7 linked regions of the Oryzias latipes genome follow. The protein of the gene in region 2 interacts with the protein of the main gene of each other region in a pairwise test. Links are inferred from orthologs where the notes say so. Each region holds a gene or a part of one and is shown on either strand. Other genes may lie near its edges. The genes, in order: wbp11, grb2, wipf2, prrc2a, ptpn23, garem1 and histone acetyltransferase p300.

Evidence for each region.
Region 1: the proteins of grb2 (region 2) and wbp11 interact in binary tests that used the Homo sapiens proteins (3 or more experiments, as listed by UniProt). The link is inferred for Oryzias latipes from reciprocal best matches to the Homo sapiens genes GRB2 and WBP11.
Region 3: the proteins of grb2 (region 2) and wipf2 interact in binary tests that used the Homo sapiens proteins (3 or more experiments, as listed by UniProt). The link is inferred for Oryzias latipes from reciprocal best matches to the Homo sapiens genes GRB2 and WIPF2.
Region 4: the proteins of grb2 (region 2) and prrc2a interact in a two-hybrid assay, tested with the Homo sapiens proteins (2 studies listed by BioGRID and IntAct). The link is inferred for Oryzias latipes from reciprocal best matches to the Homo sapiens genes GRB2 and PRRC2A.
Region 5: the proteins of grb2 (region 2) and ptpn23 interact in binary tests that used the Homo sapiens proteins (3 or more experiments, as listed by UniProt). The link is inferred for Oryzias latipes from reciprocal best matches to the Homo sapiens genes GRB2 and PTPN23.
Region 6: the proteins of grb2 (region 2) and garem1 interact in binary tests that used the Homo sapiens proteins (3 or more experiments, as listed by UniProt). The link is inferred for Oryzias latipes from reciprocal best matches to the Homo sapiens genes GRB2 and GAREM1.
Region 7: the proteins of grb2 (region 2) and histone acetyltransferase p300 interact in a two-hybrid assay, tested with the Homo sapiens proteins (2 studies listed by BioGRID and IntAct). The link is inferred for Oryzias latipes from reciprocal best matches to the Homo sapiens genes GRB2 and EP300.

What each region holds. Positions count from the first base shown.
Region 1 is NC_019866.2:20,478,051-20,482,317, forward strand, and holds the start of wbp11 (WW domain-binding protein 11), read left to right. Parts: upstream 1-1,467; 5' UTR 1,468-1,634; intron 1,635-2,020; 5' UTR 2,021-2,043; coding exon 2,044-2,107; intron 2,108-2,187; coding exon 2,188-2,219; intron 2,220-2,327; coding exon 2,328-2,421; intron 2,422-2,653; coding exon 2,654-2,850; intron 2,851-3,072; coding exon 3,073-3,203; intron 3,204-3,283; coding exon 3,284-3,450; intron 3,451-3,535; coding exon 3,536-3,721; intron 3,722-3,820; coding exon 3,821-3,940; intron 3,941-4,042; coding exon 4,043-4,267. UniProt on the Homo sapiens protein: Activates pre-mRNA splicing. May inhibit PP1 phosphatase activity.
Region 2 is NC_019866.2:20,735,366-20,738,306, reverse strand, and holds part of grb2 (growth factor receptor-bound protein 2), read left to right. Parts: intron 1-330; coding exon 331-453; intron 454-798; coding exon 799-967; intron 968-2,941. UniProt on the Homo sapiens protein: Non-enzymatic adapter protein that plays a pivotal role in precisely regulated signaling cascades from cell surface receptors to cellular responses, including signaling transduction and gene expression.
Region 3 is NC_019859.2:1,935,332-1,938,831, forward strand, and holds part of wipf2 (WAS/WASL-interacting protein family member 2), read left to right. Parts: intron 1-138; coding exon 139-753; intron 754-2,548; coding exon 2,549-2,785; intron 2,786-3,500. UniProt on the Homo sapiens protein: Plays an active role in the formation of cell surface protrusions downstream of activated PDGFB receptors. Plays an important role in actin-microspike formation through cooperation with WASL.
Region 4 is NC_019869.2:5,521,344-5,524,875, reverse strand, and holds the end of prrc2a (protein PRRC2A), read right to left. Parts: coding exon 2,925-3,532; 3' UTR 501-2,924; downstream 1-500. UniProt on the Homo sapiens protein: May play a role in the regulation of pre-mRNA splicing.
Region 5 is NC_019874.2:27,587,562-27,591,061, forward strand, and holds part of ptpn23 (tyrosine-protein phosphatase non-receptor type 23), read left to right. Parts: intron 1-2,121; coding exon 2,122-2,178; intron 2,179-2,274; coding exon 2,275-2,333; intron 2,334-2,430; coding exon 2,431-2,510; intron 2,511-2,594; coding exon 2,595-2,709; intron 2,710-2,803; coding exon 2,804-2,869; intron 2,870-3,500. UniProt on the Homo sapiens protein: Plays a role in sorting of endocytic ubiquitinated cargos into multivesicular bodies (MVBs) via its interaction with the ESCRT-I complex (endosomal sorting complex required for transport I), and possibly also other ESCRT complexes.
Region 6 is NC_019878.2:10,713,160-10,717,217, forward strand, and holds the start of garem1 (GRB2-associated and regulator of MAPK protein 1), read left to right. Parts: upstream 1-1,258; 5' UTR 1,259-1,783; coding exon 1,784-1,904; intron 1,905-2,601; coding exon 2,602-2,742; intron 2,743-2,933; coding exon 2,934-3,064; intron 3,065-4,058. Other genes in the region: ncf2 (neutrophil cytosol factor 2), read right to left, coding at 1-101.
Region 7 is NC_019866.2:19,347,922-19,351,421, forward strand, and holds part of histone acetyltransferase p300, read right to left. Parts: intron 3,443-3,500; coding exon 3,182-3,442; intron 3,086-3,181; coding exon 2,920-3,085; intron 2,792-2,919; coding exon 2,624-2,791; intron 2,540-2,623; coding exon 2,378-2,539; intron 2,253-2,377; coding exon 1,971-2,252; intron 1,885-1,970; coding exon 1-1,884. UniProt on the Homo sapiens protein: Functions as a histone acetyltransferase and regulates transcription via chromatin remodeling. Acetylates all four core histones in nucleosomes. Histone acetylation gives an epigenetic tag for transcriptional activation.

The sequences.
Region 1 (4,267 bases), about 260 kb from region 2:
AATAAAACAATGAATAATAAAACGTCGTTAAATTTAGCACAACCATGATATGCAGTAGGGATGCAACGTTTCACGTTCCCCATGATACAGTCGAATGTTTTTACACACAGTATGATCTTAGAATGCAATGCACGGCCAAAAGATAGAAATAGAATGAGAACAAATATTTCATCAAAGCATGCGACTTCGTACCATAAAAATGTCTATAAGTCTTTTGCCAGTTTTGTGTTGTGGGTGTGGGTCATTTGGCCTTCCAATCCTAATTACTGACATGTTTTAAAACTAAATACACATTTTTTAATTTAAATTTTAAACTAATTACACTTACATTACAATGAAGACACCATAACACTGAGACTTCACTTGCTCTCGTGTTCACATAGTTGTCAACTGTATCATTATTCTGTGGCCAATATTCTGTGGTCTCCAGCTCAGAGGCCTTGTGGTGGAGGGGTTGTGGTGGAGGTTGTGAGTTCAAATCCACCGCTGAGTCAGATCAAAGACTTTGAAAATGGGACCCAATAACTTCCTGCTCAACACCCAGCATGAAGCGGTTGAATTGGAGGGTTAAACTACCAAATTGTCCTTGATAACATTGTTCCGGAGAACGAATTTCCCCCACCTTGGTGCATGGCAGCTAATGGGACTTTAAAGAAACAGCTGATTTACCACAACCCTTACACTCCTCTTACACCTCCCCACCACAAACACACAACAAAACGATGAAGACGTGGGAGCTCAAAGCCTTCTTCTTCAATGATGTTCTGGTGTATGGCAGCATCATTGGGAAGGTTATCCGTTTAGATGAGCAGCTTCCCCATCTGCATCAGTCAGAAAGAGAAAATGAGCTGTCACAGTTAACCTGAATCTTAACTAAACCTAAGAGCAACAGTTCAATTCCATGTAAACAATACTACTAGCTCTCAGCCAGAAAGGCCAAGTGGGCCCCATATGGTTTAAAAGTGAGCAGAAAATGTGGGCAATTGTCTGCAGTTTCTGTGGTGGCCTCACATTGGCTTAAGTGGGCATTCGGTGAACTGGTCCACTTTTTCTGCCCACTTTTAAACATATTTTGCCCACTTGGCCTTTCTGGCTGGAATCGGTGCTTGTTATTGTCATTGCTTGAAAAATATGTCATTCTATTTTTTAAAAATGTTTTAAACATCACATCATCATGCATTTTTTCATATTGTTAATATTAGTACTCGGTAGTTAGCAATGGCAGTATATTGTGTTTCCATTCTCTTAAAATGGCAAAAAACAATCAAACAAACACACATTTTAATAAATAAAATACTTTATAAATATTTTATTTTGTCAGGCAAATACTAAAGGTCGGCATTTGATTACAAAAAAGAAGATGTTTGGCCATAAAATTAGCAAATAACAAAAACTTTCAAACAAACTAAAAATACTCAACAAAAAGTATCTTATTTTGAAATTTTATGACGTCAAAATCGTGTTTCCGCTTTTGCCCGCGCCAGTAAACATGGCGGACGGCTAACGTTGCATTCATACACATTTAGCCCTAAAGTGTTGGGTTTTCTTTCGGTTGTGGCTTTATTTTTTTGCTTTAGGTGTCACGGAGAGCGTGACAAACCCATCGTGGTCCACCAGGTTTTCCTGAAGTAAAGGTAGAGGCGGCGTTGACTAATTTGTTGCAGTTGATGCTAAAACGGGCGTAGCCACAAGTGCAAGCTAACGCGCTAAGCTAGCGAATCTCTGCTGGAGTCCAAGCTTTTTGCTTCGATATGCTTTGCCAGCAGCCTGAATTCCTTCTTTGTTTTACCAAATTATGTAAAAATAAGAGCCAAGAGTTCCGTGTTTACCTGCTAGCTCAACTATTATAAAGAGAAACAGTTAAACTTCCTTCAAATATTAATTTAGCTTTGTGGGATCATAAAACTTACCATCAGTTTGGTATAAAACAGTAACATCAAGGCACTCTAACCACATTTTAGAATATGATTGTAGTTTTTGTTTGTTTACCTCATTACATCGTTTATTCTGCACTGGTTAGGTTAAACGAGACTGACCGCAACAATGGGGCGACGTTCAACCTCCTCCACCAAGAGTGGGAAGTTCATGAATCCCACCGACCAGGCCAGTAAGTACCGACCCGTGCGAGCAGTGATGATCAGATCCAGTCAACATGACTCATTTGTGTTTGTGTTACCTACCTTACAGGGAAAGAGGCGAGGAAAAGGGAGTTAAAAAAGGTACTTGGACTGTTAAGCTGAATATTTGTTGGCTTTTTTTATTCATTCATTTTTTTTTTCTAAACAATTTTATTCTGGATTGCATTTCTTTGCTTTTTCTTTGCACAGAACAAGAAGCAGAGGATGATGGTAAGAGCAGCAGTGTTGAAAATGAAGGATCCCAGACAGATCATCAGAGATATGGAGAAGCTAGATGAGATGGGTAAGCAGCTCCTATTTGCTTTTTTCACTTTATTTTACATCTTTAACCTCCTAGAACCCAAGTTAATCTTTGAGCTGACTCTCTACACACATAGTCATGTAGCCTCAGTTAAGCAGAATTAACTACTGCGGTATTATAACCCATAAATTGATGTCCATGCATGTGGATAAGCTTTTGAGTCACTCTCCATCCTAATTTAAAATAACATTTTGATTCTTTTTCTTGTCTGCAGAGTTTAACCCAGTTCAACAGCCTCTGCTGAATGAGAAAGTACTGAGGGACAAGAGGAAGAAGCTGCGTGAGACATTTGAGCGCATCATCCATTTGTACGAGAGGGAGAACCCGGAAACTTACAAGGAGCTGCGCAAACTGGAACTGGACTACGAGACCAAGCGAGGCCAGCTGGCTCTTTATTTTGATTCAGTGAAGGTAGCTTTAGTTCTTCCTGATCCTTTTTCCTTCCTTTGTTCACTTAAAGATCCTTTATTCTTTTCTTAAAGTATTAATTACCTTTTGAAAAATTTTAAATTAGGTTTTACCTCCAAGTCACACACACAGTTTGGTTTATTTCAAGTCTTTTTGGCTTTTTTTTTTTTTTTTTTTTTTTTTTTTTCTAGTTGCAGGTGTTAATATTTGCATTTTTTCCTCCAGAATGCCGAGTCAGTGGAGGTCGACAGTATTCCTTTACCTGACATGCCCCACGCTCCTTCAAATATTCACATCCAAGACATCCCATTGCCAGGGGCGCAGCCTCCCTCCATTCTGAAGAAGACCCCTTTTGGGTTGGTTTTGTTCAAGTTTCTCTTCCTGCATTCTGTGGGATGTAATATGTTATTTATTGTTCTCATTTTGTTTTTCATAGCAAGCCACTTCTTTCTTCATCCACTGGACCGGTGATGGCATCAGTACCTGGTGTCCCGCGTTTACCTCCAGGAAAGAAGCCACCAGGGCCCCCACCTGGACCCCCACCTCCTCAGGTCCTGGCTCTCTATGGAATTCCTTCTCGGAGAGCTTACAGCACAAAAGCCGGTAACATTCAGACACATCTATGTCAGTGTGTGTGTGTTTTTTTTAAATCTCCTGCTCCTCTTACCTTTTCTTTTTCTCTGCAAAGAATCCTCCATTCCTGGTTTAGATAGAGACGTGGAAATGGAAAGGGATCAGGACAGTGGCAGTGAGAGCGACAGAGATGACCGGGACGATGACAGCGACTCTGAGGAAGACAGCGAGGAAGAGCGAGAAGGAGGGGACAACGAGCGGCAAGATGACGACAAAAAGAGGGAGGAGAACAAAGACAGAGGTAAAAAAAAAGGAAACAAAGATGCTGATCAGCATCCCTGAGTGCATTTTTTTTAATATAATGTCTTGTGTTTTTTTCTCCGGCTCGTATTCCCGGCAGGTCGGAGTGTGCGTTTTGCAGACATGCCAGCGGAAGGAGATGGGAAGAAAAAGAAGAAAAGAGTTGTGAAAAAGAGCAAAGCCATCACTCCTCTGCAGGCCATGATGTTGAGGATGGCAGGTGAGGACGAGGGCCACATCCACATCTCTACAGCATTACAGCTGCCTTTTATTCTCAATATATTTAAATATTTATATCTATTCGCTGCTTTTCTCTTCTCAGGTCAGTCGATTCCTGAGGAGGATGAAGACGAAGAAGAAGAGGAAGAATATACGGATGGATCTGACAGCTCTGACACAGAGGAGAGGGGATCAAAGGGAGAAAAGCAGCCTCATTCTTTGGCTGGTCAGAATCTGCCTCCTACTGCCGGAAATGTGGCACAGCAAGGTCCTCCACCCATGCAAGGTCCTCCAATGACTGGACCTCCACCTCTCGGCCCACCTCCAG
Region 2 (2,941 bases):
GGTTTAACTTTCAACACGCATTCAGTGGCAGCGCGTTTTCTACATGGAGCCTGAAAAATGGTCGTAAAAGCTTTCATAGCTACGCGTAAATGTGTGAGTTTTGATTGCGGAAGGCCCAAACCCATATTTAGGAGCGTTTCCATAGACTTTTCATCTGAAGTGGATGCTTGAACCTGTGTCGCTTAAGGCGGTGTGAACGTAGCATCAGAGGTGTCTTCCATACGGTTTCTTCTGCACGTTTGCATCAACTTAGTGATCCCAAACCAAAATGGTTATTGATTTAAAGTCCCATGTGTAAACTAAGTTCTTGTTGTGTTTGCCGTCCTCCAGGTGGTTCTTCGGGAAGATTCCTCGCGCCAAAGCGGAGGAGATGCTGAACAAGCAGAGGCTCGATGGGGCCTTCCTCATCAGAGAGAGCGAGAGCGCACCGGGGGACTTCTCCCTGTCTGTCAAGTGAGCGGCCGCACTCTGACGCCACAATCCAGGAAAAAATTACTCGCATTAGTTTTTCCATTCATATTTTTCCCCTTCAACCTGGGCGTGACGTGCTTCCTCATTTCTGAACAAATTTATGTTCTCGGAGTTTGAGTCACTTGTGGTTTTTCCCTTATTTCCAGTTTTTAAAAATGTTTTTAGAAAACAAATTTCTGATAAAACTACAATTTTTCTGCTTTTGTTTTTTCATTTAGTAATAAAAATGTTTTTAGGAGCATTTTTTTTCTTTGCTTCCCTCCACTCTCTTTCATTTAGCTGCTTCTCCACCACACTGTTCAGAGTCTGAGTTTCTGTTCTCTGCAGGTTTGGAAATGACGTGCAGCACTTCAAGGTTCTCCGCGATGGAGCTGGAAAGTATTTCCTATGGGTGGTGAAGTTTAACTCTCTCAATGAGTTGGTCGATTACCACCGCACCACCTCAGTCTCCCGCAATCAGCAAATCTTTCTGCGAGACATAGAGCAGGTTCCCCAGGTAAGACATCCCACTAAACTGTTCTTTAAAAATGGGGCTTAAGGATTGGTTTCTGTGTTGATGGAGCACACTGACTGTCCATGTGCACCTTCTGTGCAAATACATGAAGACACAAATGTCCCAGCATATGGGTTTGCAGCCCGACCACATGTGAGCTCAGCGGAAGACCTGCCGTGGAGCGGATCTTTGGCGTGGAACCGTGGGTGTAAAAAAACCACTCTGAGGTCACCACATGCCGAGGTCACATGACTGCACCTAATGCTTCTGATTCGCATCAGAGCTTTCTTTCTTTTAGCTGATCCATTTTTATGATGCATCGTAAAATCTAAATGTCACAGGTTTTCTTTTTAAAGACTTTATGGACGTAAACTAGAGCAGAACCTTTTTTTTGTTGTTGTTGTGGTCGTTTTAACTTTGAAAAGTATTTCTTATTGCAGCTACGCTGTGCCATCGGCCACATTTCAGTGTCACAAACGGTTAAACTGACATTTGGAGTACAGGATTACACAGAAGCGCTTTAAAGATGAATGTGAGATCATTTCATTCCTGCATGTTCATATTAGTCACAAAGGTGTTTCATGGTTTTGTGGAGAGCAGCACTGAAAATACTAATAACAATCAAATCCTAAACGCATTCAAGACTATGTACCATCCAGACTTCATCGTGGTATGATCCAATACATGGAAAGCTGTTAAAAATGCGTACTTTTATTTATATAAAAACTTACATTTTGACAAATTACTGTATCTTTTTGGACTATGAGTCGCTCCAGACTTGACAGTCACAGGAGCAAGAAAGAAGAAAAAGATCACAAATGCGTCACACTTCACGCCAAGCCTGGTGTTGGACTGAGCGCCACTTCTTCTGTCACGCTGTCAGTAGGAAATGCTGATGCGCACATCTACAGCGCCCTCTCGTGGTTGTTGCTATTGATTTTTTTTTTTTATACATATCAGTCGCACCTCAGGACAAGTTGCAAACTCAGCCAAACATATATTTATGTGGTATGTGGAGTTTAATTCTGCAGAAACAAAAGAATATAGTAGTAAAAACCTCTCCTGCTCTGCTGCACTCTGTTCTTTTTAGTCACAGTTGTTAAAAATAGACATTCATGTGAATGTTCTGTGATGGATTCAAATCAATTCAGATGTTGTAAAAGCAGCTCTTCAATGCTTGTGCGCCTTCTTTCTTTTGCTAAAAGCTTTTTCTCGTGATTGGATTGAGATGGCTGCACTAAACAACACGTTTGGTCCAGTTCTGAGTGAATGCATCGACATTAATGCCGCCGTTTAACGGGAAACATTCAGGCGTGGAGCTGTGGAGGCTCCGGCGTCCGACCACGGCCTCTCAGTCCAATGCATTGGAGATCAACTGTAAATGCAACGGAGAAGACTGCGATGCTGTGACGAAGAATCAGACAAGACGTCTAAAGCAGCGGTCCCCCAAACCCAGGACCGGTATCAGGGTTAGGGTAGCAGACAGAACAAAAATACATACTCCAACTCCGATTATTTCTGTTTTGTCTATTTTCTGATACTAAAGGAAGTTTTATTTTGGAAAACTACCGAATTTTGTTCACCACATCCGTCTGTCTGGACGCGTCACATGACTTTAGGCAGCTGTTCAACGCTTAAAAGCTAATAAAACCAACAAATAAATGTATTTGGAAAGTTTCTTTGGGGAGAAAAGAGTCTGCAGGGAAACCAAAGAAGACTCTTCCAATTCATCGAAAAATTGAGACCTTATTTACAGACAAAACCAGAAGTCTTCCTCCAAATACAGATTCACAGTCGTTCCCGCGTACCAGAAGCCGCTCTGCATAAATCTGATAAAGATGCAGACACGGTGGATTCACGTTTATTACGTTTAGAAAATACTTATTTTTACGTTAAAGGACATTTACGAATTTTCCTACAGCATGGATGAATTACGCTGGCATGTGTTAAGAAACTCGGCACAGAAAATGTTCCTCT
Region 3 (3,500 bases), on a different chromosome or scaffold from region 2:
ACTGTAGGTCCATGCTCTACCAACGAGTAGTCCCGTACGAACACTACATGTGTTCAAAAACCCACGTTCAGCCCACTGGAAGCTCCGCCTCTCTGTGTTTGATGTCTGCATGATTCTCCGCCTCTCTCCTCCTCCCAGACGGTCCGGTTGTTGGTTCCCTCGGCAGATCCGCCCTCAAGCCGCCGGGATCCCGGCCTGCTGCTCCTCGCCCCCCCACGGGTCGCTCCAGCTCCCCCACCCCGCCCAACAGGCCCTCTTCGTCGGAGCCCCAGCGGTCGCACCGCCCCTCCCTGCCAGACATCTCCCACTCCCACAACAGCAGCTCCTCCGGCGGGATGAAGCACAGCACATCTGCCCCGCCGCCCCCTCCCCCCTTCAACAGAGGAAACCGCGGCAACGCTCCGCAAGCGCCTGCTTCAAGAGAGAAACCCCTCCCACCAACGCCGCAAAGAGCTCCCGCGCCGTCAAGTACGGCGAGGCCCCCGTCGTCCTCGAGCAGACCGCAGCCCAGCGGCTCTCACGCTCCTCCCCCTCCTCCCCCTTACAGACCTCACCTGTCAGGTGGGGTCTCCAACGGGCCCTCCGACGTGGATGGAGGGGGGGCCCCTGAGCTCCCGCGGAGACACAACTCGCTGCGTAAGAAGCACTCATCAGGGGGGCGGAGTCAAGCCCCACCGCCCCCTCCTTCTCCATCCTCCCAGCAGGGCAGCCGGCCACCGCCGCCCGCCAGAGAACCACCTGGACGCAGAGCAGGTATGAACGTGGTCTCACACACGCACACACACACACACACACACACACACGCACACAGATGCTACAGCTGGCAGTCGAGCGGTTTCTGACGTCTGGATTTTTGAAGAGATCAACAGTTTTCTTACATTTAGCTGCATATATAGCATCTTCATCACATGACCCCCCCCCCACACACACACACACACATCCAGACAACAACCATCTGATTTCCTCTGTTATTCACATTTGTCGAGGGACTCTTTGCCTCCAGGTTGTCGTAGAAACGCGGCCTCAGTTCCATCCGGCGTGGAAACGTTTGTAACTCCAAACTCGCCAAACTGGAACTGACGTGTTGCCTGCGTGTAATGGGCCAACAAACGATTCTCCAGGTTCCTCTGCATTCCTGAAGTTTTCTGGAATATTCCAGCTTTCCTCTTCTCTCATTCTGCCTCCAGCTGACATCAAACTGCAGCTGCTGATCAGCTGGTTTTGTAAAATCAAAGTTTGAACCCTGGAAACGGTTCAGTTTAGTGGATTTATTTGTTTGTTTTTCCTGATCTCTGGAAACAGGATTAGGTTATGAGTCACAACCATTGACTGTATCAGAGAGCTGGACTGAGTGTGACGTCATCCATAGAAAATTGTTTACTTTCTCCTCAAACCAAATTAAGTCAATTCAGTCACCATGTTTGAGTCTGATGACATCAGTAAGCAGTGATTGGTCCGAGCCGGTCTGAGTTTCTATGGTGACCACTGTTACCAGCTTGCTGGAAGGCCACGCCCCTTCTACTTGATGGCAGACTACAGAAAATCTGTCAGTCGCTTTGAAAGTTCCGCCTACGTTTACTGGAGCATCTGATTGGCCAGTTTATGATTTAAATAACTTGAACTACAGAAAAGAATCACGAAAAAGGGGAATAATAGAGATGATTTTAAAGGGGTCAGACCCTGAATGGTTCTTCTGACCAACAAAACCGAGTAACAGCTGTTTGGTTCTCAATAGACGTCTACGAGATTTTAGCGGCTACTTCCTGTTTGGAACGCCAGGGGGGCGGGGCCACCCAGTCCAGTTCTCACACACAGTCAGACTGACTTGATCTGTATTGACATCACTTTTATGTCTAACAGACCCCCTAAGATTGAATAAATCCCAAAAGACGTTTTCTAATTCAGATTAAAGTATTTTTCTTCTGTTGACAGACGTCGTGTCATCTGCCACTTCTCAGTGTTAAATTGGGACGTTGCTTTTTATTACCAGAACATTAATTATCCGTTTCTAGAATGATCCCTTTTTTATTTTTATTAAGAATTTACAGCAGAAAAATTCTGAATTACAATTATTATTTCCTTTTGATAAATAAAATACTTTTTAAGTCAAAGAAACAAAATCTGCCAGCAGCACCAATTTATACACGAATACAACAGTAAATATGTGACAACAATTATTAAAATATAAACCCCCCAAGGATTAAACTGACTCTACCAAACTGTCAGTATCCTTCCAAACCCAGATACTTAAGCTCCTCCCCCTTGGCGTTTTCAAAGAAAGTAAAATACAATGACATAAATTCGTCCAGAATGAATCAGCTATGAATAAGTGATTGATGTGTCTTTAGTTTCATCAGGTCTCTGGTCCTGATGGAGGCTGTTCCACTGGGGAGGAGCTTACACCTCCTTTTTAAAAAAGCATTGGTCGCAGCTCCTGTCCCAGAAAACCAAAGCGAGCCTTTCAGCGGTCCGGTTCCCCTCTCAGAGAAAGTGTTCTTCCACTCTTCAGATTCTAATCCTGAACTTTTTTCTTTTTTCCTGGTCACAGTCCCCCCGGCCCCCCCTCCCAGCTCTCGGAACGGCGGTCGTGATGCCCCTCCTCCCCCGCCTCCGTATCGTGGCCACAGCTCTGGAGGCTCAGAGCCCCAGATCCGGGTGGGGAAGCCTCCTCCCCCCGTCTCCTCCTCAGCTCCACCATCTACCAGAACGCCAGCGGGGCCGCCCCCTCCTCCTCCACCCATCCGCAACGGTCACTCCAGCTCCTCCTCTTCTAGACCAAACACAGGTGAGTCCCGCCTCCATCCCTCCGTCCACGTGGCGTTGGGGACACGGAAAGCAGGAATGGATTCTTCCGTTTTTCCCACGACTTCATCAAAGGCGAATCTGTGTGAAAATGGCTGCTGCTGTTCTTCAGTGGAACTAGTTTGTTTAGGATTTTTCTGTGATGCAGGCGGCTGTTCAAAGATAAGCAAACCACCTCCTGCTCGTATGCAAAACGGCGCTTTGTTTCCTGATTACCAGGAACGCTCTTCCACGAGTCTCCAGGCCGACACGCCATGAAGCTCAGGAGATGAACCGCCACCGAGTCGTTTTGACCCTGAGACTGAAATGTCAACAAATTCCCCCTAAACGAACAAACAAAATCTGAATTTTTTATCTCAGTAGACAAAAATATTGATTTGTTCACTCATTAACATTATTGCATCTCTTGAAGACTATTTACAGTAAAAAAAACAGAAACAAATAGTTTCTGAAATGAGGACAAAGTTAAACCAAAGAAAATTGATTTGAAACCAAAGACTCAGTGTTGGATTTTAGCCGTAAGCTGAGCTGCTGCGTTTCTGAAACTGGACTTTTGCGTAGAAACCTTCATTTCTTTGCATGTCTCTGCTTCAACTGGCTGAACGTTTCAGTTTTCAGGCAGACGAATCTCTGCTTAGCATCGGCAGAAGCCGGTCTCATTTCCACGTTACCCCGGCGTTTGTTTCCGTCTTGTGTTG
Region 4 (3,532 bases), on a different chromosome or scaffold from region 2:
CAGTGGTGTAAATAAGATGGACACCCCTTCCTAGGTGTTAGCTGGATTTTTCTTCTTCTTCCTCCGTTTTACTGCAAGTTTTACTGCAAGATCTAAAGCCGCCATCTGTCGGTCGCCCTCTGAATTACAACTCCATAGACTTGCAATGGTGATTCACATAAAATACGTACAATTCATCTTTAATAATACGTACAACTCATCTTTAATAACAAGCAAATAAACACAGAAAAATTCCAAACTTCATCAAGAATAATTCAAGAAACAATTTAGAGCTCTCAGTAACGTAAATAAGATGGTCCCCTCTCCTGGCTGTCAGTTGGATTCTTCTTCTTCTTCCGTTTTACTGTAAGACCTCCAGCCGCCATCTGTCGGTCGCTTTCTGAATTACAACTCCATAGACTTGCAATGGTGAATCACAAAATAAGTACAATTCATCTTTAATAACAAGCAAATAAACACAAAGAAAAATTCTACACTTCAAGAATGACACAAGCAACAAATTTCCATTAAATCAAAGTAGTTTATTTAACTTTGCCTTCTTTGTATAACTTTATTATAAGACACTTCTCTGCTTGTACATTGCTCCCTTGAACTAAAAATGGCAACATTTGTTTGTGGGAATGTAAGTTGGGGTAGACAAACCTTAGATACATACCAATATACATACATGTGTGTATATTACGGTTCCGTTACTAAAACCATAAATGCTAAAAACTGAACCACTCCAGGTACCTCAGTAATGCTGGAAATGTAATACAATCGTTGAGAGATTCTGCTGTGATACACTACTTGTGTTCATCTTTTAACATGGGTACATACATGAATGCACACATCAAACTTGAGGAGAGGTGGAGGACTCCTTGAGCCGGAGTCCAGTGTAAAGCTATCAATGTATCAACCAGTAACAGGCAATGCAAGCTGCACCCATGGGTGTGATCATGCTAAGAAGTCATAGTGGGAAAAACAAAAAGAATAAGTCCAACTTCATTTGCCTGCTGAAGAATCTATACTTAATTTACACAAAAGAAGTTCTCCACTGCAGGTTTCTCATTTGGATGATGAACATATACACACAGCTGAATGTATACACGTGAATGTATTTAAGAAACAGTAGAATTGTCTTAATTATATTAGTTCGATCACACGCGGGCAAACAAGGCAGAAAGTGCTTGCCGTTTTTCTTTTTAATGTTAAATCCTCTGGTCCCCACCCCCTTCCCGAGCTACAACAGACACCAGAAAACACACATCCACGTTAACACAAACATACAGAAATCATCGAATGCCCTACTCGCAACATCCCAGAGACAATCTTCAAATTGTTGTCAGTAAACAAACCCCAACTTACAGCAGTGACAGAATTGACGCAGGAGAAAAAAAAAAGATCTATTTCCACCTCGGATGCCGTTGAAAGTTCTTATTTCATTGTGATACAAACTGCTTAGAAAGATCATCGACATCCATGCGATGCTTTTTTTTTCCTTCCCAGTCAGATTTTTTTTGTGTGTGTTGCCAGTCAAATCTCAGAAACCGTGTAAACCGCAGAATGTCGATTCGGCATCGTTTTGAAACGTTAGGCTGTCCTGCGTTCATCCACGCTTCCTCAACGGCGAGTCCTTCTTGGTGTGAGGAAGTCGCCCTACAGTGCTGCCAGGGTGCCGCCCACGCCTGACAGCAAGGGGGGGGGGGGGGGGGGGGGGGGGGGTGAACAAAGGAACAACACTGATGATGTACTCTGGGCCCAAACAGAGCACCCTTCCTGTTGCAGCACGTCTCAAAACCACCAAAAATGTTTGATATACCAACAAGGAGTGCTTATTATAACATACTCAATTACTAACGATGCATTCTAAAAAAAGAAAATAAAAAAGGTAAATCAGGACCTTCATTATCAGACTCAATTTTATTCAACAAAAACAAACTTTGATTTGAAATGGACTGTCGCCACAGAAAACGGGAGGCTTTTAAAGAACTTTAAAATAAATCACACTATCGAAGCCATTATTCCTGGGATTTCTGGCTCTGCAAGGAGGGAAGATGCTACGATGAGGCCTCAAAAGCCTTTCTTCCTACACGAGGAGCAACCAAAACCTAAAGAAGAGTCAGTAAAGGATAAGAAATTTTGGGTGGGGGGAAAAAACGAGTCAGTCTTTATGAGCTGAAGTTACAGACAGGTGAGAACTGAGCTGCGGTACTTCCATGGGTCTTCTCACAGTAATTATACTCGCTGCAGGAGACCATAACGAGAGAAATATACAAAAAAAAAATGACGGGAAAAAAACCCACACAATCGCACATGCGTACACACACTCCCTAGCCTTTCTTAAAGGATTAAAAATTCAACAACAACAACAAAAGATCACACAAACCAAATATCTTCAGGTATGATATCGCTAAAAGGATGAAGCTGCGGGATTTCTTCCCGTGGTGAGGGAAAGCGCGCGGCTCCACTACTGAACATCACCCAAGGCCTAAGTGTGAGAGAAGTATACACAAATATAAAAGTCAGCCCCGATTCTGACGCATCTCACGCTTTTGTGCTTGTAAATGCAGGTGTGTGTGTGTGTGTGTGTGTGTGTGTGGGAGCATTGTGTCTCTCAGAACAAAACGTGCACCTGCATTACACAACCACATGCAAGTCTGATGGGAACGGGGGCCGTTTCCTGATGCAACATTTAAAAAAAAGGGGGCATAAATAAACAGACGTACATTTATAATAACGGACGGTACAGAATACATAATGCAGGGGGGGGTGACTAGGATGGGGGGCACTGGAGTGAATACCATCTCCTTATACGGTGATGCACTAACGATGTAAATGCAAACGGATAAGCCATGACATAATGATCAAAAGAGAAAAACAGGGGAGATGGCGGGAACAAAGTGGGTGGGTTTTTTACTAAAATCTTTAATACTCCAATCAAATCACTTCCTGTTTTTTGGAGAAGGCCAGTTGCCGCGCCTCTCTCCGCGATTGCCGCCTCCGTTTCCTTGCCCCCCGGGGCCGCCGCCGGGTGGGCCGCGGGGGCCTCTGCCTCCTCCTCCTCCTCCAGCGTTGACCCTCCGGTGCTGGCGGTCCATCCCGGGACGCTGGCTGGAGAAGCTTCGTTTGTTGGGCTCTTTGCCCGTCACGTCACGCTCGATGAGGTCTCCGGCGACGCCACCTCCTCTGCCGCCGGGGTGGTGGTGGTAATGCTTCCCTCCCCCTCCGCCCTCCCTGTCTCTGAACTCCGTGAAGTCACTGCTCTCGGAGGCGGTCTCCCACTCCTCGTTGGCCTGGTCGGAGTTCTGGTTGGTGAAATCGGGAGACTTGGCGCCGTGGTTGTGGTGGTGCTGGGGGTGAGTTGGACCTGCGCTGCTCTGGTTGTAGTGGTGATGGTGGTGGCTGTTTGCATTGTTGAGGTGGCCGCCGCCGCCGCTGTTACTGTTGGTGGTTAGTGTGGTGCTCTGGGTGGCATTTTGGGCGTTTCCTGTAACGGAAGGCGGGACTTGAGCTTCGCTGCCGTCCTGCACTGAATTCAGGGAAGGAGACA
Region 5 (3,500 bases), on a different chromosome or scaffold from region 2:
AGGACATTTTAAAGCTCGTGCTCAATGTTTTGGAGGTAAACGCCGGGGAGCAGAGTGAGCCGATTGCAGACCGGAGGCTTAGAGGAAGTATGGATGTGAAATTTATGAGTAGAGTTAAAGAGGACATGATAAGAGCTGATGTCAGAGAAGAGGATGCTGGAAGATGATTCGCTGTGGGGTCCGTGTGGTGAGGAAGCTTAAATATAATATATATATATATATAAAAATAGTCAATTCAAATGTACATCATATTTATTCGGAAAAGGACAAGCTTATATTGCTCCTTTTGTTCTCAAACCTTTCGCTTCTTTCTTGGGCCCCGAAAAGGTCTTTAGTGAGGCATTTTAAAGGACCTATATCATGCATAATTGACTTGTTGACCTTTTAGGTTTATTATAATGGCTATTACTCACTATGAACCCCCAAAGCTGTATTTTGAGTATTCCTCTAAAACAGGGGTATCCTTCATGTTTTCCAATCAACCTTCCATTGAATCTCCTTACTGGCTAAACACACCCAATCAGCAGCATATAATGCAGGATTTCTGCAAAACCAGCAGCAGGACGGCCCCCGAGGCCCGGATTTGGACCCAAACCCTTCTAAAACCCTGTGCTCTGAGCACCAACCCCTCCCAAGCATGAAAACGAGTGGGTTCTCCCTTTGTGACGTAGATAAGTGAGAGCAGCCCCTTCCAGTGAGAGTCTGCGCTGCCAGCCCCGCCCCCAGGCTAACACACACACACACTTTCTCTGCAGAGCTAGCGGTGTTAAGCAAAAACACTTTCATTTTATATTCACACTATGCACGTCCATCTTTGCAAAAGTTTGGATGTTGCTTGTTTTCATGGGTGAAAGGCACGATGTGGTGGCCGGCTCTAGGTTGACGTCATGAAATGGGCGGTACCCACACGGAGCGAAAGGCGGAGCCTCAGGGATCCAGTCGTCTTACTTATGGATAGGAAAATGAGTTGCAAAAAAAACAAATATTTATTTTTAATGTGCCATGGGTAATATATTTCTGTATATATGGCTATAGCTTACCCTGAAAGCCTTAATAGTGGCATGATGTAGGTCCTTTAAAGCACGAGTGGGACATTCAGATGGAATTTTTCAAGTTTTTAAACCTGTTAAGGATCTTTCACGAACATAAAGCGAACATCCAAAACATGTAGAAACCCTTGCAAAGTCAGGCTGGCTTCTGTCTGTTGCATCTACAAGCCTAAATATACATTTGAAGCTATTTCTCAGCAAACAGCCCATTAAATGCTTGTACTGAACAGTAGTCATTTAGTAAAAGAGCATCTTTAAAACATTCTTGATCAGCTTCTGTTGCATCCCCGTGTTTACTGATGCGTTTAAAATCCTTGTTTGTGTTTTTAAATGTTATACATTACTTCAGTTCAACTGTGTGAAAGCTGCTCTCTGCTGCCTGTTGGGCAGCTTTTAGACAAACAGCTGCTGTTGATGATAGAAAATGAAAATGAGAGGAACAATGACCCTGTTTGTGTCTGGGTTTTTAATGGCAGCTCCTCTTTTGTTTACATCTAAGCTCAGTCATAGTCTTTCTTGTATTAAATTCTGCTTTTGGTTTGAACATTAAACTTGACACAGAATAAAAGAGTTGATGCTATTATTATCATCGTGAAACTTTTTTAAGTTTATAGGGTTTTGTTTTGTTCTCTGGCATGAGAAGTTGTCATTTAACAAAAACATTTGTCCACAGAAAGCAGAATTCAAATGTAAAACACAAATCTATAAAAATACTATTCATATAGGGTAAACATCCACAACAGAGAACTATCTTTAGCAGGGTAGTGAGTGCAAAGATGGTGGAAGAAATGGAGAAAATGCAGATAAAATACATATTTGCAAAGAACTTGCAAACAGGAAAAATGTCTTGTTTAATGGAAAAAAAGTTTGTTTTTGCACTTGTCAATAGCGAGTTAGCCTAAGAGAAGGATCAAATGATGCATTTCTGCTCTTGGGAAGATGGGAAGTCATGTTTTTTTCTTTCAAATATGTGTACCTTTACTTGCAGTAATATGTTGGTTTTACGTCACTTTGAAAATGGATAATAAAGTTTGTCACAGCGTTGTTGAACTAAAGTCTTCTGTTGTTGCAGTTGGCTTACCTGCAGAGCTCCTTGGACAAACTGGGGGAAGCTATCAAGCTAGCTAAGGTAGCTTTTTTTCGTATTCTTTGCAACTTTCAGTGTTTTATTTCTTTCTTTTAAAGCTTTATTTATTCATTTCTCTTTCCGCCTTGATCCCTTCAGGGTCAGCCTGACGGTGTGCAGGAAGCCTTGAGATTTACCATGGATGTCATTGGCGGAAAGTGAGCATTGAGTCTATGAGTGACTGCATTTTTGTGTTTGAATCTTTACTTTGAGTGTTAAAAAAATGATTTTGTTTTCCATCTGAACCATTTAAAGGTATAATTCTGCCAAAAAGGACAACGACTTCATTTATCATGAGACGGTTCCCTCGCTGGAGACGCTGGCATCAGTCAAAGGTAACAGGAAGTGACTTTGCTACTGTAAACGTGCATTCATGATATTCAGTTCTCGTCCACACAAACGCCTTTTTGCTCTTCCAGGCGCTCCTCTGGTGAAGGCTCTGCCTGTAAACCCCACGGATCCCAGCGTCACTGGGCCGGACCTGTTTGCCAAACTGGTGCCCATGGCTGCACACGAAGCCTCGTCGCTGTACAGGTGTGGTCCCTCAGAGGAACTAACACTTCAAGAGTCTCTGTGTCTGTGTCTCTGTGTTAGGAAAGTTTCACCGTGTCTGTGCTTTTCATTTCAGTGAGGAGAAAGCAAAGCTGCTGAGAGACATCATAGCCAAGATTGACGGCAAGAATGAAACCCTAGAGTGAGTTACTACTGAAATTTGTTGTTTCTAGTTAAAGTCCTACTCCAACTGTATTTATTAAGTACTGTAAAATCCTTCCCAGTGGTCTTTGCCGCTTCTAGCCTAAATCAACAAGCCTCTGTCATTTTTTAGGACATGTGTTCTGCAGAGCGGCAGGAGTTCATTAGGAATTTGCCTCTGAGTTGTGGGCGGGACTGTTGGCGCAGAAGTAACCCTACGTTAATATCCCGTCATTCAGTTGTTTACTTCCTCTCCCGCTAGCTTACAGCCCCTCGTAGCCACAAGCTAACATTAGCGGCGAGCAATATCAGAGCTATCCAGCCAAACAGTTTGACATACAGATTCCAGCTCAGACGAGGAAAAATAAGACATTAATGGATCTATTTGTCTGCAAGTGGATGCATCAGAATGAAGCGGAGCAGGGAGACTTCACCCCTTTCTGCTGCTGCGTCACAACTGAGAGCTTTTTCAAACGGCGGTCCATCCCAATTTGAAAAGAGAAATCTTAATTTAGATATAAATTTAATTTATCTTAATTTAATTTACTTAGTCTTAATTTCTATAGGAGATATGATGTTGAGATAATATTCTTTTAGTGCACCTTGTTGATATTTGGATTGTTTAAGTCACT
Region 6 (4,058 bases), on a different chromosome or scaffold from region 2:
TCAGGAATGGCCAAGAGAATCCGGAGAGCTTCCGAAAAATCCTGTTTGTCAGCACAGGTTACGCCGTCATCCCACTGTCGCAGAGTGTCCACAAAAGACATTTTGGCTGCCGCTGAGACACAGTGACTGAATTGAGGAAGTTTCTCTGATTTATGCCATGAAAAACAGGAAGTTGATGACAACGTTCAATGAATTTGCATCAACGCCATGTGCTCTTGAGTCCAAGTCAATATAGTAAGAATCGTGGTTTGATCTGTGAATCGTTGATCTGAAAAAATTATGGGTGTTTAAATATTTACTGTAGTATTTTAAGAGTAAATAATGAAGTAAAGTGCAATAGTAGTACTCCCCACCTCATCATTATCTTTGGTTAATTTTATGATTTACATGGATTTGTATTAGCAATACCGTATTTTTTTCATTTTTTTTCATTTACTCATCACAAAGTCTACCTTAAGTTAAGATTTTCCAAAACTTCACTGATTAAAAATGAATTAATAAAAATTGTGTGAACCCATATATTTAGCCAAAACAAAAGAACAGGTTATTTTATTACCTCAATGTTTTTTAAATTTATTCTTTTATTTTATGTGCCTTAAGAGATAAATGAAAACTTATGAGTAATTAAAACATTATTTTAACATTATTTAGCAAAGTTTGAGGCTTAAATCTGGCATTACAGTCTGCAAAACAAAATAGAATGAAAAAACAAACAAAAAAAAAAGGTTACATCTCAGGTTTTAATAGACTTTTTCTTTAAGTTATATAGATTAGTGTAAACATTAACAAAGTTATAAGAAAATAAATTATTTTAGAGTTTTGATTTTTTTTCTCTTGTCCTTAAAATTGTTGAATTGTTGGCCAACACTCTTTAAAATTTTTCTTATTTCCCCAACCTTTTAGCGAGACAAAAATATACTTTCTGGTACTTATCTTGAATTAATTAAATGCATTTTCTTTAGTATGTAGTAAATAGTAAATACTTCTTCCATTCCATTAAAATCCAATTTCTACATCTGTTGGAACAAACACTTTTATTTCAAAAGCTAAGATGTAAAATTAGATAAGATATAAAATAGCTAAGCCATAAAGTTAGAAAATGTATCGATTGGTTATTACGAAATGATACGAAACTTCACAATTTTTGGAATATATTTTATTTACTAAAATAGATTTTTAATTTGTAATCCAGACTATTTTATCAGAAGGAGTTCAATTGTTTGTGAGAAGTAAAAAATAAATAAAAATAAGCAAAAAAACAAACAAAAGAAAACGCAGTGAAATTATTGAAGTGGTTATAAAAAATTAAACCTAATGGAAAAGCCTAAAGAATGCACTTTATTTGGCCTTTTCCCTTCTTTTGTTAATGTTTTATCACCTGCTATGTACTTGTATAATTTTGTTATAATTTGAGTTGTTGTTCCGGGATTTAAATCTTGTTATTCATCAATTTTAATTGGAGGGGGAAAAGGGAAAGGCTTTTATTTAATAAAAATAAAATTGTAGAAAGTGACGTATTTCCGTTAGAATAGTTAGCTTGATACTGCCGTCGCTACTAAACAAACATGGCTTGGCTACTTTTTCTAACAACGAACCTTTTGGATACGTAGGGAAACTTAGAGGGAACTATGCAGCTACGACTTGGGAACGTCATGTGCATGACACAACTGCATAGATGAAGAGCAGCTATAATTGTGTAGCTAGTTTGCTCGGGAAAGCTTTTTTGTGACCGTGTTTTGCACCAGTTAGCTCAAAAAGTGGCTAACTAACTTAAGCTAGCAAAATGGACCTTGGAACGATGTTGTACAATAACTTAAAGGATGTAACGTGGAGCACGACGTCTCTGCCGCTAGACCAGCTGGTCAGTGCGTACAAGTTGCCACAAATTGTCATGCTGGATAACGGTTAGTAACTTACTTCAAGTTTTATAGCTACCATGCTAGCCAGTTAAGGCTTCTGCTTATCAGCTCTAGTCTAAGCTAATGAAAAACAAAGATTCGCTTTAGTGCAATAATGCTATAAACTGATTGATATAAAAGCAACCTTGATGGTAATGAATAAGAATTTAGGTCATGAAGTAAAAACGAAAAGGCTATTTTGCTAATCAAAGGAAAACGCTGAAGGTGTAAAAAAACAACAACATTGCCTTCACAACATCATGAGTCCCCTAGTATGTCTACACTTTATTTAACTAGAAAGTGTCTTTGACAAAAGTTAACATCTACTTAGTTAAATTTGTGTTTTTCATTTCATAATTTAAATGTATAAAACATGCAGAAATTGTGTGGGATTATGTCTAATGGATTTTAAATTACCTTTTAAAATGTCTCTTTTAGCAGGTGATGGTTATCCATAATGTAATGTTTTGAAGTAAAAAGGCTCGTGTCCAGTACTTGATTCATTTTTAAAAAACTTTATTTGTAAGTTGAACATACATTTTTATGTGTAATTTCTGACACATTTATTTATTCAAATCTTAATATTTTCCTTTTCAGGAAGCAACTCACTGGATAGACTATATTATTAAAAGCTTCATCCAGACCTGATTGTATCATAAACTCTTTGTGTACTTTGGTTGATTGTTAAACTTCCTTTCTGCAGCTCAGTTGGTTGAGGGCCTCAGAGAAAACGACTACCTCTTGATTCATTCCTGCCGTCAGTGGACAACTATAACTGCTCACAGTCTAGAGGAGGGACATTATGTGATTGGGCCTAAAATAGAGATCCCAGTTCATTATGAAGGTAAGGAGCCGCCATGAAGATGGTGCTTCCTTTGAAATGGCTCTTTCTTATCTAAATTATTCATCGTGTATGCTTTCAAAAGTTTTCTGAGTGATTATTTTGAGAAACTGATGAACCACCAACTGCTTACTTCTCATGTGATGGCAGAAGCGATGGAAAATATCAGCACTAATCATTCGTGTTCTGCTTAGGCCAGTTCAAGTTGCTGGAACAGGACAGAGATGTCAAGGAGCCCGTGCAATACTTCAACAGTGTGGAGGAGGTGGCCAAAGCCTTCCCCGAAAGAGTGTACGTCATGGAGGACATCACGTTTAATGTTAAGGTACACTTTCCCCTTCCAAAGTGATCATTTTGATGAATAGGACCGAGATGAGCATCCGAATACTCAGATATACGCCATCTTTTCCAGAAAACTGTACCAATATTTGTGACGTGGAAATATAGTGGAATATATATAAAAAATAAATTATCACTGTAAAATACAGAAAAATGTTGGATTTTAAGTTTAAAAACTAAACAAACTGAATGGACTTCTGTCACAGGAAGTAAACAAATTTTCAGAGTAAAGTGTCAGAGAAGGTTCTCGTTTTCAAAGTAAAGCTATCAAGTGTTTTCTCAGATACAAAAAATGGGAGTAAAATTTTGAAATAAATTCTGAAAAAAACATTTTATTTAAAAAGTAGTTGATAATTTAAAGAAAAATTAGAATGAATAGGACATTTTAAAATATTATTAAAATCTTCTGTTCAGTTATGTGACGTACCAGAACATGTCTGCAAAATATTCATCTAAAGTGTGGAGGTTTTTTGTGTTTTCCACTAAAGATGAAAACAGTGAGTTAATAAAATATGTTTGCTGGAAACTCTGCTGTTAGTTTAGATTAAAGAACAGTTCCTATTTATTACAGAGTCACTTTTATTGAGGTGTTGCTGTGTCTTCATTTATTGTTTTCTTATCATCCATCTACTGGAACTTTAGTCAGCCAAACTCTGAAGATGGAAAAACTGTGGAGAACACTTCCAGGACTGGATGTTAAACGATCCAAAGCAACAGTGACGATTATGTTTTGTACACTACTGAATTTGACCAGGAAGGTTACAGAAAAACTTACACAAGTGTGACATTATTTAAAGTGACAAATACCTTTTCTTTCTTTTAAAATATTTGAGCTTTTATTTATGTTTTGCTGATTCTTGTATCCTGTTCTGAACAAATGTGTAAATGATGTTTATAGATCCAACAAAAACACGTACATGAGGCGACCATTCATTCATAATATATTAAATGGAAAGAATTGTGGTTTGATCTGTGAATCG
Region 7 (3,500 bases), about 1.4 Mb from region 2:
CTGACCGGCCCCCACAGGATTCATGCTGCCCTGCTGGCTTCCTCCTGCAATGTTACCCACCGGTCCTCCTGGGACTCCTCCTGGTCCACCAGGACCCCCCTGCCCCCCCTTGTATTTGGCAGCCCTCTGTTTAATGAAAGCAGCCATGAGTTGCGGGTTAGAGCGCAGGATGTTCAGCACCTGCTGCTGCTGCAGCGGGGAGCTGGGGGAGCGGAGTGTGCGCAAAAGCTCCTGCAGAGCTCCCTGTGGGATGTTTCCACCTGCAGCACCAGGAACACCGGCAGCTCCGGGGACTACACCACCTGTGACCCCCCCAACGGCACCCTGCTGCTGCTGCGCCATATTCATCAAGGCAGCATGGCCTGGAGTTGGTTGATGGGGAGGCTGCTGTTGGGTGGGCATCATGGCTGAATGGCCCATCTGGGTCATCATAGCTTGCCTCTGCTGGGGGGACATGCCCTGACCGGCCCACTGTTGCTGCTGCTGCTGCGGGTTCTGGAGCGGAGCCCCCATCCTCTGCTGCGCCTGCGGGCCGAGCTGGATCTGCTGCAGGTTTCCTTGCTGAGGGGCCTGCTGCATGTGTCCGCCAGCGCTGGCCATCATTCCTGGGGGAGCAGCTTGCTGCTGGTCCATGTGGGCTCGAGCTGCTGCTGTCTGGATTTGCGGGGGCATCCCCTGAGGTCCAACCATCCCCACTGCTCCCAGATGTCCCATGTTCATCTGCTGCCCTGGAGCCTGTTGGTGGTGGGGCATCAAACCCGCACCTGCTGCGTGCCTCTGTAGCGCCATCTTTCTTTGAGATTCAGCCACCTGCTGGATCTTCAGAGCTATCTCTACGGCGGCCGCTGGGGGGCCAGAGGGGGGCATCGGTGGCTGACCTGGTGGCTGGTTGGAAGCCTGTTGTCCTGGAGGCATGACACCCCCAGGCTGCTGCTGGGGGGGAGTTGCAGAGCCCAGAACAGGCTTCCCCTGGGACTGGTGGACTGGGGAGGAGCCTGGTGGTCTGTTGGCGTATGACTGCATGTTGTTGGGGTGCTGCCCCGGATTTGTTCCTGATCCAGGTTGTTGTTGTTGTTGTTGTTGTTGTTGTTGTTGTTGCTGCTGCTGCTGCTGCTGCTGCTGCTGTGGGACCTGAGGGAGCATCTGCTGCTGATGCTGTGGGGAGCTCATGACCCCCCCACCTCCACCTCCACCTCCCATCTGCTGGAACTGATGGAGAGGATGTTGAGGAGCCATTCCTCCTGGTTGTGGTTGCTGTGCTCCGCTCCCAGGACCCAGTCCCTGCTGCTGGACTGCAGGCATGGTCTGAGTTGGGGTCTGAGGTGTCGGGGGTTGGGTTCCCCCAGACGTTGGAGTGTTGGGTGCTGTGACGTTTCCTGGTGATGGAAGTCCTACCACAGGTCCTCCTGGCATGGCCCCGGCTGGCTGCCCCGCCCTCTGCATGGTGGCCATCCTCCTCCTCAGCATCTGGGCCTGCTGGAGTCTGTGCTGCAGATGCTGCTGCCGAAGCTTCTGCTTGATGTTTAGACAGAAGGGGACCGGACACTTGTTCTCCTGGCAGTGTTTGGCGTGGTAGCAGCACAGAGCGATGAGCTGCTTGCAGATGGGACATCCCCCGTTGGTCTTGCGTTTGCAGCCTTTGGTGTGCTGAACAACCCGCTTCATCTTCTGGCAGGACGGCAGCGAGCAGTTGGCGTTGCGGCATTGACACGCGTGGACCAGAGACTGGATGCAGCGCTGGATGCTGAGGCGCCGCGAGTCCCCGGGGTTCTGAGCAGCGGCTGCAGCCTGGTTGTTGCCGTCGTCATCCAGGCCGAGCCCCAGCTTGTCCATTTTGTGCTCGTGGCCTTTGATGTTGTAGCAGGTGATGCACAGGTCGTAGTCCTGGAGAAAGAAGAGAAGTCAGAAAAAGATTTTCCTGCTGGTTGCACCAACGTCTGTGCAGCAGAAAGCTCTCTGGCCGCTCTCACCTCGCAGACCGTGCAGTGGAAGCGGGTCTCCACATGGCGTTTGCATTCGTTGCAGGTGTAAACAAAGCGGTCCTGGCTCTGGTTGTGGAGCTCCACCAGCATACACATGGAGCTCCACTTGGACCTCCTGAGAGAGCTGAACTCCAGGTGCTTGTCCCTGGCCAGAGTTAGAAAGGCATCGCGGCCGTCCATGAGGTCACAGGCCATCAGAGGATCCGGGTCAGTGATTGGGGGCAGAGAGTTGGCCGTGGGGCCGGCAATGAGGCGGATAACAAAGAAAACCTACCAAGGGAACACAAAAAGTGTTAGTTTTCTCAACTATTAAATAGACAGCACCCAACTCCTCATCTGTACAGACAAGCTCCATGTATAAAAGGTGAAATATTTGCTGCCATAAGTTTGAGTACCTCCTTATGTTTCTCCATGGTGGCGTAGAGCTTCTGGGAAAGGTCGTTGGAGACACTGGGCATCCCGGGTTTCTTCTTATTGGCTCGGCTCAGGCTGCTTTTGTTCTTGCTCGTCTTTTTGTTGTTCTTCTTTTTGGCATTTTTGCTGTCTCCCTTGGAGGGCTGCAAATGTTTTAAAGGCGATCTTTAATGCATGTTTCAGCGCAGCAGGGTTGCTCTGGACCTGCTAGCTTTGACCCTACTCACATCTGTGCTCTCGCTGGAGGTGCTGTTCTCCTCCCTCTTCCTCTCCTCCTCCTCCTGTTCCAGCTCCTTGATGCTCTCCTCAAGCACGTTGGGCCAGAAGTCTCCCTCAAAGTATGGCAGCTCCTTGGCACTTGTCAGTCGGTCTTCTGTTGCTTGTTTGAAAATGTCCTGCATGACCACAGAAGGAAAAAAATTTTGTTTTAAAATATTTAGGGGGGGAAAAAAGTCAAAAATCACAGTAGAAATGTTTGCAATAAGAGAAATTTCTAAAACTGATCTTAAATGAGGCCTCTGACCTTGTAGTCATGGATGATCCGCTCAGAGACGGCCTTGTCCAGCATTTTCTTGTACCACTCCTGCAGGCGTTTGGGTTTGGGGATCTTCTGGTCTGGCGGGTGACAGTGAAAGATATAATCATCTCCTTCACTGGGAGGACAGGCCCAGATGTGTCCCGCTGTAAACCTGGAACACAGACAGTTTCACAGATGAGCACAAAAGTTTAAAGGACATCCTGTTTTAGTAGCTCTTAAAAGCGCAATGAAGCCTTTTGGCTCTTACCCCTGCCTCTTGACGTACTCCAGATAGCCTAGTAGGATCTCGTGATACACTGCTGTCCTGAGGTGTCGAGGTTTGAAGAAGTGCACGCTGTCCAGGTAGGAGATGTACACCCGCCTCTGGTTTGGAGGGGGGCAGTCTGAGCCGTACTCTTGAACGTGCATGCCGAAGAAGCACACGTCCGCCCCGTCAATGTCCTCAAAGGCAAACAGGGCCTTCATCCTGTACGGGAACGACTCGGACATTTCTCCGCTGTCCACAAACCTGCAGAGGAGGAGCACAGACATGAGACCCAAAGTCCACTTTTGCCCAAACTGCTGAA